3 separate regions of the Mus musculus genome follow, and regions 2 and 3 are each reported to be linked to region 1. The links are microRNA targets in miRTarBase. Many come from high-throughput screens and were not tested one by one. Region 1 holds a microRNA gene; each other region holds the end of a gene's coding sequence. Distances are from middle to middle.
Evidence for each region. The annotated mature microRNA mmu-miR-1896 reads CUCUCUGAUGGUGGGUGAGGAG and lies in region 1 at 2,464-2,485, opposite strand. An mRNA with a match to its seed (bases 2 to 7 or 8) in the 3' UTR can be bound and repressed. Matches are read on the target gene's strand: a 7mer-m8 pairs with bases 2 to 8, a 7mer-A1 pairs with bases 2 to 7 and ends in A, and an 8mer does both.

Region 2: the mRNA of Il6st is a reported target of mmu-miR-1896. Seed matches in the 3' UTR shown: 8mer at 2,090-2,097, 7mer-m8 at 1,890-1,896 and 7mer-A1 at 221-227.
Region 3: miRTarBase lists Tstd3 as a target of mmu-miR-1896. Seed matches in the 3' UTR shown: 7mer-A1 at 2,172-2,178.

Annotation. Positions count from the first base shown.
Region 1 is chr13:21,443,022-21,447,693 of GRCm38, reverse strand. It overlaps Mir1896 (microRNA 1896), which reads right to left and starts at 2,534; the gene lies at 2,454-2,534. It overlaps Zscan26 (zinc finger and SCAN domain containing 26), which reads left to right. Exons shown (of 6, transcript NM_001347491.1): 6 at 1,865-4,672. The coding sequence ends at 2,763. It overlaps 4930470G03Rik (RIKEN cDNA 4930470G03 gene), which reads right to left. Exons shown (of 4, transcript NR_151504.1): 3 at 3,501-3,623; 4 at 864-2,772.
Region 2 is chr13:112,504,009-112,507,008 of GRCm38, reverse strand. It overlaps Il6st (interleukin 6 signal transducer), which reads right to left. Exons shown (of 17, transcript NM_010560.3): 17 at 149-3,000. The coding sequence ends at 2,564. Among named protein-coding and RNA genes, the nearest start is that of Il6st, 41 kb to the right of the region's middle.
Region 3 is chr4:21,755,785-21,758,784 of GRCm38, forward strand. Tstd3 (thiosulfate sulfurtransferase (rhodanese)-like domain containing 3) reads right to left here. Exons shown (of 4, transcript NM_029840.1): 4 at 1,598-2,691. The coding sequence ends at 2,619. It also overlaps a transcript of Ccnc not described here. Among named protein-coding and RNA genes, the nearest start is that of Tstd3, 9.9 kb to the right of the region's middle.

The DNA.
Region 1 (4,672 bases):
TTAGGCCTGTTGTGGCTTAATTTGTATACATAATCTAAACTGTAGCCTCTCTAGTCAGTGCAGGTTTTTGTTTTGTTGTTGTTGTTGTTTTGTTTGTTTTTGTATATACAATAAACTTAGTAACACAGTCAAGATTTAAAAGATCTACAACTCCAAACAATTTGAATGAACAACACACCAAGAAGTGGAGCTGAGCCTACCTGTTGCTCTTCCCTGAGGCAAAAAAGTCTCAGACAGAGTTTCCTTATTCCCTTTCCTAGCTCCTTCAAATCACTGTGAATGGCAGTGCTGAGGGTGGGGTGTTAATCAGTTTCTTTGGCTCTGCTTTGTTACTGTTCTATTTCTTACTTTTAGTCTCAGTCTCTCTCTCTCTCTCTCTCTCTCTCTCTCTCTCTCTCTCCCCTCCCTCCCCTCCCCACCCCCTTCTTTTTTTTTTTTTTTTTTTTTTTTTGACACAGGGTCTTCCTGTGCAGCTCTGATTGATCTCAACTACAACTATGTAGATCAGCTGGCCTTGAACTCTCTAATGTCTTTGATGCTTTCACTAAGTTATGTTGTAGTCTTCTCTGTCACTTAAATACGAATGTATAGATGTCTCTCCTTGCTTAGATCCCTTAGTGAACTGGGAAATGCTATTCTGTTTTTTCACATGAAGTACTGTGGCCACATTGGGAAGAGGAACCGAGAGATAGAGCTTTCGCTCTCCTCAGGCAATAGCGAATTGTGCTGCGCCTCCCACTCACCCGCACTCTGTTGGCCTGTTTGTTTCCATTTCCCCTTCCTGTTTCTCTCTTCTGGCTCCCTCCTGCCTCATTCATTCTATCCCCTGCTCCAGGCTCCCCATTCACTCACTGTCTGGGTCAGTGTCCTCGCCTGCTCGCTCACGGGAAGTTAGCTTCCAGTTTCTGGCTTCTTTCTCTCTTTCCATAGTTAAAGAGCCAAGTTTTGTTTTGTGCCCTGAATCTGCTATAGATCCCCTCTGAGGGGAACAAATCATATTTCAACATGATGTTTTTGTGAATGCATTATTCTCAAGGTCTTATGCTCCCGGTACTGTTGATTTATTGTTAAGAACGTAAACACTTTTTCCAAGATTACATACTACTCAGTGATAAAATTGGCACCATGTCAACTCATCTTCATTTGTCAAAGTACCTTCCCTGCTTAACTTGATGGTCCTCGGGTGACCTGATTTATGGTGCTTTTTTGTTTCCCAGGTGACAAATCATGATCAAGAATATGCAGTCATGCTTAGTAGCTTCTGTGTGTGTAACATATGTCACATAATAAAATATAGAACATTTAAAATAAATCACCTCCCACCACAACCCCTGCCCTTCCCCAAAGCCAATCTGGTTAACACTTTCCCAGATGTCAGGCTGGACGTGGTGGTGCTGTAACTGTGGGACCTGAGAGGAGAGGATTAGGTTAGGCCATGTTATTCTGCATAGTGAAAACTTACCTCAAAAAAAACAAACAAAACCACAGTTTCTTGTAAATCACTCTTTATATATATATAAAATAATCATGAGCAAAATTTTGTTGTTGTTTTTTTACTTTGTGAGGATTGAAGCGATCTCATCTCTTAAGAAAACTTTTACAGAGGATCTGGTTTCAGTTCCTGTCAACTACATTGCAGCTCACAACATTCTGTAACTCCAGTTTCCGGGAACTGGACAGCCTCTTACGGTTTCCTTGGCACTGCATGCATGTTGTGTACATGCATACATGCAAATAAAACACACATAACATGTTTTTACATTTATACACATGGCTTTATTTAAGTATTTCCTGCTATTTGCAGATTCCTTTCCCTGAACACCAAAAATAAAATAATTAGTGATATATATATTTACTATTTCAGGTAAAGAGACAAGGAGTGAGAATGGGAATCTCATTGCAGGGACAGACTCTTGTGGAAGAATGGAATCATCTTGTACCATGACTGAACCCATTGAGGCCCAGTGTGAGGACCTGAGCTTGAAAAAGAATCCAGCCATGCCCAAGGAAAAAACTAACAGCCAATGCTTGGAAACTAAGGAGAGACTTGTTCAGAACTCAGGCCTGATTGAACATGACAGGGCACATACAGGAGAAATGTCCTGGGAATCTGTAGGATCTCAGAGTTCTGTTGCTGCTGACCATCAGGAAATCTCTAAAGACAAAGGTCATCCCTGCCAAGAGTGTGGGAAAGTCTTTCAGAGAAGTTCACACCTCATCAGACATCAGAAAATCCATCTTGGGGAGAAGCCTTACCAGTGCAAAGAGTGTGGAAAAGTCTTTAGCCAGAATGCAGGTCTTTTGGAGCATCTCAGGATCCATACTGGAGAAAAACCCTATCTGTGTATCCATTGTGGAAAGAACTTCAGGCGAAGCTCTCATCTTAATCGACACCAAAAAATTCACAGTCAGGATGAGCCCCGAGAATGCAAGGAGTGTGGGAAAACCTTTAGTCGGGCCCTCCTCCTCACCCACCATCAGAGAGTCCATGGTCGTTCCAAAAGACATCACTGTAATGAGTGTGGGAAAGCCTTCAGCTTGACCTCCGACCTTATTCGACATCATAGGATTCACACTGGAGAAAAACCTTTCAAATGTAATGTGTGTCAGAAAGCTTTCCGCCTAAATTCACACTTAGATCAGCATGTTAGAATCCACAATGAAGAAAAACCCTACAAGTGCAGTGAATGCAATGAAGCCTTCAGGCAGAAGTCTGGTCTCTTTCAGCATCAGAGACATCACCATAAAAGCAAACTGGCTTGATGAGGTTCTCTGTTTGAAACATGGAAATGTTACATTGATAAGCAAACAGCGCCTTTTGAAAGAACTCACGACGGCTTCAGGATTCTTGGAAGCCATTTGCCTCCGTTGTGTCCCTCTCTTGGCTTTACTTAAAGTCATAATTAGACTATAATAATTTACCAGAATAGCAGAATCAGAGTTAAACAAATATTCACTACAGAGCTTCTCAGAGCTTTCAGTGTGATAAGTACTTGATTATGTATCTCTTAAGTATTAGCTTTATGTGTGAATGAAGTGTTTGAAATCAGTAAGTCAAGTGCCTATAGATTTATACAGGACAAGATCAAGCTGATATTTTTGTAAGTACTGTAGCAACAGGCTCCTAAAACATAAAATTAATGAGGGTTGGGGATATGCTCAGTGGTTTAACCAAGTTGCTATGCAAGTGGAAGGACTGTTTTGGATCCCCAGCACCCATGTAAAGTCAAATGAGTATGTGGCCAGCCTGTGGCCTGTGGTCCCACCCCTCAGGTGGCAAAAATGGGATCTTTCTAGCAAGCTGGCTAGCCAGACTAGCTGTATCAGCAAACTTTGGACTCAGGGGAGGGAGTTTGGAGAGCAGTCGGTGGAGTTCTTGAGGAAGACTCCTGATGATAATCTAAGTGCACATGTGTCCATACGTATGTAGAGCCATACCTGCAAACATCATACATGTGAAAAGACAAATCCTAAGGAGCTAGAGTTAGCAGTTAACATACCTGCTCTTGCAGAGGACCCATCCATTTTCAGTTCCTAGCACCTCCATAGCACAGCGTCTCACAGTTCCAGTTCTGGGGATCTGCTAGCCTTCTCAGGCTTCTGTACACAGTGGTCCACAGAAACTGGTGGACACACACACACAACTGGTAAAATATTTTTAAGCCCAAAATAAATCTAATAATGCTTAGAAATACACATCCTCAAGGGTCTAACGTAGGTTAACTGAACATTTTCCCTGTTAGGTTCACACAAACACTGGCTTCATATCCACTTTACCTTTGTACCATCAATGAATGCATTTCTGAAAGCTTTTGCTGTTTAACTATAGAACCTACCCTTAGGATTAGCTCATGTCATTTTACATTTCCTGCCCATTTTAACCACAGTATCACAGTGTTTCAAATTATAAATCAAAGTTTTACCTAAACTATGCAAGAGACTTTGAGTCATTTGAGTGAACTGTGTTGAAGTATTCTAAGCAGCGACCTCCTTACTGGGCAGCAACAGTGCCAGTACAGTGACTGCTTGAAGGACACCTTTTTTCATGAATGTCCCATGGGGGGAAATGGGGTTTTCCCCCTTTGATACCAATGATGCAAATTTAAATGCTACTTGTTTTGATATTATTTTGACCATGCAAATCAAATCAGCTCGGAGAGATCATGGCCATCAGGTCATATTGACTGTCTTGCTAGTGATGAAAAGTAATAAGCTTGGAGTCTTCCCAAGCCCAGCACCCGACTGCTAAACATGGCTTATGGTTGGTAATTGCACAGGGTGTACTTCTCAGGGAAAGGGCTTCTTAAGTTATGCCGCTTTGGGAAGAGAAGGGGACCCTTGTACTGACTACAACTTGGTTTCACTACACTTGACTTACAAATAAGCCAAGAACTTAGCAACATAGAAATGCTTATTTTTCTTGTCCGATAGAAAAGGATAGTCAGTCCAAAACAGATCCATGGTAAACCTAGTCAGCTTGCTGCCAGTCATGTCTAAGGAGGGGACAGGCCAAGGACTGCTAGGCACCTAGGTGCAATTCTGACATTAATCTTCTGTTTCATGCCCTTTTTTTTTTTTTTTTTTTTTTTTTTTTTGGTTTTTCGAGACAAGATTTCTCTGTGTAGTCCTGGCTGTCCTGGAACTCACTTTGTAGACCAGGCTGGCCTCGAAC
Region 2 (3,000 bases), 91 Mb from region 1:
GATGGGAACGCTAGGTTTTGTAACGGCGACTCAGCATTAAACCTTCCTTTTTCTTTGAGTCCTCGAGAGGCAACTGCATGGGAAGCAGTGGACTAGCCCTGGCCACAAGCCAGGCTGCTCTCTGGTGCGCCTTACACTACATTTTTACACACGAAAGAATACGAGCCCACGGGCAGAACTAGCTTTATTAGACGGTTTTACAGAAAGACGCCAGATTACTTTCTCTGCTACCTAAGGTACAAGGTACAGCATCCAGATTATTCTAAAACATGCTCGAGCGAAGTCTGTATTCAAGATGAACTTTAAGATGGGTTTTCTCTTAGAGCAAAGGGAGGTGCTCCATGGTACATCTTCTAAATGAACGTTCCTGCAGTGAGCACACCCCCTCCCTGCTGGCGGAGGCCCTGGCTCCCTGGGACACTTTCTGTCTGGGATTTAACGTGCCAACTTGCTTCCAGGAGGCTCTTCCTTCAGTGGCCTCTATGTTCATGCCTGAACTCACGCTGGGCTACCATCCCTAGCCAGTACAGACTTCACACTGCAACGTTCACAGCACCACTGTCTGATATGAGGGAAGTCACAGCTGAACATGGATAGAGTCCCATAACTAGACTGCTTACTGTGAGAAGATGAGAAATTCAGCAAGTGTTAACTTCCTGGCAGATATATACATAGAAAACTCAGTCCTAACTGGGATCAGGCTTTGACGTCCAACTTGAATGGCAATGGTGCCAGCCTTGTAGTGTGAATTCTGGTCTCTCTGCCCCTGACCTGGCCTTCCTGTGCCCGACTTTCACCATCTCCCTTCACTTCCGGCATTTTGGCAATTCCAGGCTGGTTTTGCCAAGGAGGCAACTGAATATACCAGAGCAAAGCATGTACAGTCTCACGAGGATTATACATGTGAAAGAACACAGAAAAGGACTACCCAGTATAAAAATATAAATGATAACACATCAGCAAGTAGAATATAAACAACCTTCTGAGAGTAAAAGGTGAAACTGCATCCAACTAAGTGCATATCAACTCCTCCTAGGCACTGTGTGGTAACCGCTATAAATGATCTGGGTGCCCATGCTCTGAAACTTCAACCCTTTTCCTGTGAGCACACTTAGTGATCAGCCTCTAACGGCGCTCAGCCAATTCCTGTCTGCCCAGTGTCTACCTTTAGCCCCCACCTCCATGTCACACTGGGAAGTTAGGCACAAATACATTAATGGCTTTAGTGCTAAACACTGGATGCCTAGGCTATTCCTTAATAAAGCAACTAGAAGGAATAGGTTTAAGATAGTCCTAAGTCGTGTAAAAACTCTACCTCATAAATGGCAGATATTAAAAAGACCTGGTTGGGTGTGTGACAGCACACATCCACAGTCCCAGACAGTCAGGAAGCTGGGCCAGGAGGATCACGAGAGCCTAGATGACATAATGAGCCGGGCGGAGGAGCAGCTCAGCGGTAGAGTGAATGTCTAGCATGCACAGGGCTGTGGGTTCAAAGCCCACCCTGCAAACTAGCAGGACCCTTCCAGCTTCCTCAGCTCTGTAGGAGGACTTCTGTCATTGTGGTGGTCGCTGACATGGTTGGGATGTGTGTTCTGGGACTGCATGAGGCTCTGGGAAATGCCACCCTTCAACAAACACCCTGCTATTCTTGAAAATCAAAACAAGGTGGAGTCAATTAAAGTAATTTAAAGTTGAAGACATTCTGGATAAAGTGCTTCCTCAACCAGTCTCTAGAATCATCTGTCCCTGGTGTGGTTATGTGTGTTCAGAAAAATGTCAACAACTTAAGTCTTTAAAAACAGCAATCTTCGTAAGTGGAGCAGTGGTGGTGCACTGCCTTTCATCCCGGTACTCTGGAGGCAGAGGCAGAGGCAGAGGCAGACAGATCTCTGAGTTTGAGGCCAGCCTGGTCCACTATAGGGTGGATGAAATTGACTCGGAAAGACATTTTCAATAATAAGCAGTTTCTTGGGAGGCTGTAGGTGACTATAAGAAAGCGGGTGCTTCTATGTTGCTTCTCTTTAAAGTTTATCCTCTTCCTCAGTAGTAACCGGCATCGATACCAACAGCAAGGAGCAGGCCATGCTTCTCTGACAGACCCAGAAACGAGCCACCCCTCCATTCTTTCGTCTTCTAGATGACATAATCTGGACACTGTGCCACAGGGCACTTTTAAATGATGCTGCTGGCCTTCTCGCTGGCATCTGGATGGTCAGTCTCATCAAAACCAGCCCAGCTGAACGATGCCATGACATTGTGGCTCATTTAAATCCCCCGTTTTCTATGTAGCAAACCAACAGCTTTATAAACTCAGACACACTTTGTTTTCGGCAGTGCAAACATTCTGAAAGAGCACAGAGTCCTCCAGCTATAGAGGATAAAGTCAGTTCATGTAGTGCTTGAAGGAGAATTCCAGCTACTCTGGAATGGAGACGGCCCAGGTGTGACTTTGTCCTTAGAGGCAATGCCTATCTTCAGGGAGTGAGGACTGTTTCTCATCTGAAGCCACTCGTCTTTAGCTTTATTTTGCAGTTCCTGCTGAAGTTCAGGAGCCAGTCCTTCACTGCGGCATGTAGCCACCTTGTCTTACAGTCTGTGGCAAGTAACTTTTGGGAATTTCTTCATCAATTGTGGTCTCCATTCCAACAGATTCAAATCTCTCCATCTGTCCATCAGCCCCCGTGCCAAGAGCATCCGCTGTAGAGCCTTCCTGAAACAGCCTCCGTTGCTCGGATCCATAGGGCTGAGAAATGTGATCTGAAACCTGCTGCTGCTTCAGTCTGACAAAATCCTCCTCATTGCCGGACAAAACCTGGTTTGACCTTTCAAAATGTGAAATCTCTGGACAGGCTTCAGGCTGACTGCAGTTCTGCTTGAAATACGGTTGCCTGGGCAAGATCTCATCCCCACCGTCTACACTATCCACCAGCTGCAGGTCTTCTGGCCGCTCCTCCGAGTCTAGCAGGGGCTGGGTGGACTCGGACCTTGAGAACACTT
Region 3 (3,000 bases), not on the chromosome of region 1:
CTGTGAGCCATGATGTTTCCTGCCATGACAATAATGAACTAAACCTCTGAACTGTAAGCCAGCCCCAGTTAAATATTTTCCTTTATAAGAATAGTTGTGGTCATGGTGTTATTTCACAGAAATAGAAAATCAAACTAGGACAACAGTTACTTTAATCCTTGTGTCTGAAAGTCCAATATATAAACCCCCTCTGGCTCTCTTCTATTTTCCTCTGAGGTAAGGCCTCATATAGCTCAAGCTGGCCTTTTATTCTCTGTGTAACGGAGGACCTTGACTCCTCCTGCCTTCACCTCCCAAATGTCAGAGTTATAAGAATATAACACCATACCAGGCTCCTTTTTTCCTGCTACTTTTCCTTTTTTTTTTTTTTTGATTTATTTATTATATGTAAGTACACTGTAGCTGTCTTCAGACACTCCAGAAAAGGGCATCAGATCTCATTACAGATGGTTGTGAGCCATCATGTGGTTGCTGGGATTCAAACTCAGGACCTTCAGAAGAGCTGTCGGCGCTCCTAACCGCTGAGCCATCTCTCTAGCCTCTTCCTGCTACTTTTCAATTATAAGATACTATTTCCTGCTGGTGGCCCACACCTTGAATCCCAGCATTTGGGAAGCAGAGGCAGGCAGTCTCTGAATTTGAAGCCAGCCTGGTGTATGTATGCGTTCCAGGCCAGCTACAGCTACACAGTAAGACAGTGTCTCCAAACAAAAACAAACCAAAAGAGATCCTGACTCCTGTTGTGCCTAGCAAGTTTTGATACAAGTCTGGACATTACATATGAAAACTTGAGATAGCCTTTGGCTCTCATTCACCTGTAGGATAACCGCAAACTGTATTCTATAGGCAATATCTGGTTTGTCACCTGCTTTTTGGCCTGGCCTTAAGAATTTTGCTGAATTTCTAAATAGTTGAAAGAACATTTGGTGACACATGAATGAATTATGATTCATACTTTAGTGTGCATATGAAACCTTATGGGAGGGTAATCATATTTACATATTCATCTATCAGAGGTTCAGGAAGACACCTGCATTTGGATCTTAGTTGACATTTAGTTCTTGAGGGGACTGGTCAATTTATGGCTTAACTGCACCATTAGTTGTAACTAAAAGCCAGGTACTAGCCAGGCTGTTAGTTGATGGGCCCAGTACTACAATTTTGGTACATCCTCTACAGTTTACTTTCTCCTTAAGTTCATAGATCTTCCAAAGCCTTGCTGCTTCAGTACTGTCTTGAAGTACGCTAACCTGTGCCTATGTGTGTGTGTATGTGTGTGTGTGTGTGTGTGTGTGTGTGTGTGTGTGTGTGTTGCAGCTTTCCTAGTATGAACAATCAAGAAATCAGACTGCTGTTGTGGAGACAGATGTTCAAATGTTTGTATTTCCACATTTTTCAATGGCTTCCACTTATTTTGCAGAAGGAAGTACCTGGAGAGCTTTGCTGGGTGGGTCCTACCTGATCTAAATAACTACACAAATGAGAGTCAAAACAAATGGTCAGAAGCAGCAGGCAGGAAAACAAGTTTACCTTGTTACTATGATGCCAGCACACCAACAAGCATATAACTTAACACTTTAAAGAAATACATGCATGCTGGAGGGAGTCAAACTTTAATATTTTATTAGTTTTGAAATTGAGGTATATTGACGTGGAAAAACACTCATTTTTATGCTTCCTTTGATGAGTTTTGACACACACACTCCTGACGTTTTCAGTCATGGCCACAGAACATCTCCAGTATCCCACACCAATTCCTGGCCTCTTCTAGGTTACTTTGCTCTCCACAGTCAAAACCCATCAGATTCTTATCCTCACATTAATTATAATTTTTAGAATGAGTTGAATTGTTACTACTCTGCCCACACATTGCCATGAGTCTTCAGATGCTGTGAATATATTTTCCTGAGTAGAGTTGACTTCTCCAGACCCCAGAGTCTTTTCTTTTGAAACAGAGTCTCCGTAGTCCCAGCTGGACTCAAACTCATGGTGATCTTTCTGCCTCCGTCTTTCCAGTATTGGACCTAAAAATATGGGTCTCAAACCAGAAGCTCAGTTATTGTTTAAAATTGGGGCTGCTTGTTAACACTGGTTTTGCTCACAACCGTGATGACACATGGCTAGATAACTGGAGCTATCTGATCGGTTTGTTTGTTTTTTCGAGACAAGGTTTCTCTGTATAGCCCTGGCTGTCCTGGAACTCACTCTGTAGACCAGGCTGGCCTCGAACTCAGAAATCCGCCTGCCTCTGCCTCCCACGTGCTGGGATCAAAGGCGTGCGCCACCACCGCCAGCTTATCTGATCATTTTGGAACACCAAAATACTTAAAAATTAATTGTAGAGGGAGGGGAGGGGAAACTTTGGTTTCGGGTGTAATGTATGAGAAAAGAATAACAAAATGAACTGTAGAATATAATTTCAGTGGCAACTCATATTATCTCAGTGTGCAGTAGACTTTGAAATATTCAGGGGAGCAGCACCCTCAGTTCTCAGATGAGGAAAACGGTCGCCAAGCAGTCATCCAGAATCTATTAGCCTTTGGTGCCAGGGCTGGGTTTTTCTTTTGCTTAATCCACCATCCTTATAGATATGAACACCGAGTCTGTAATTCCAAAAGTCAACTTTCTTGTTTCTCCTCTGAAATTTCATAGGTTACCCATTCCTTCCATCCTCCAGCATAATGTTGAGCACTGAAAAGATACATTAGTAAGTGTTGCTTCATAACAGAAGAGCTTTGCAATAGCCACTCATAAAAATTATTTAGATTCTACATCTCTTTTAAAAAAACTTGTCTTTTGGTATAGCATTGGAAATGTAAATGAGCTAAATACCTAATTAAAAATGGGGAAAAAAATTTGAGTACATTGGAAAGACACAAGCTCTTGGTCCCCATATCACATTTATTTATTTATTGATTGGTTGATTGATTGATTGATTTACTGAGCATTGGGATTACAGCCATACACTACCACTGCCTGGTTATACTGCTTTTATTAACA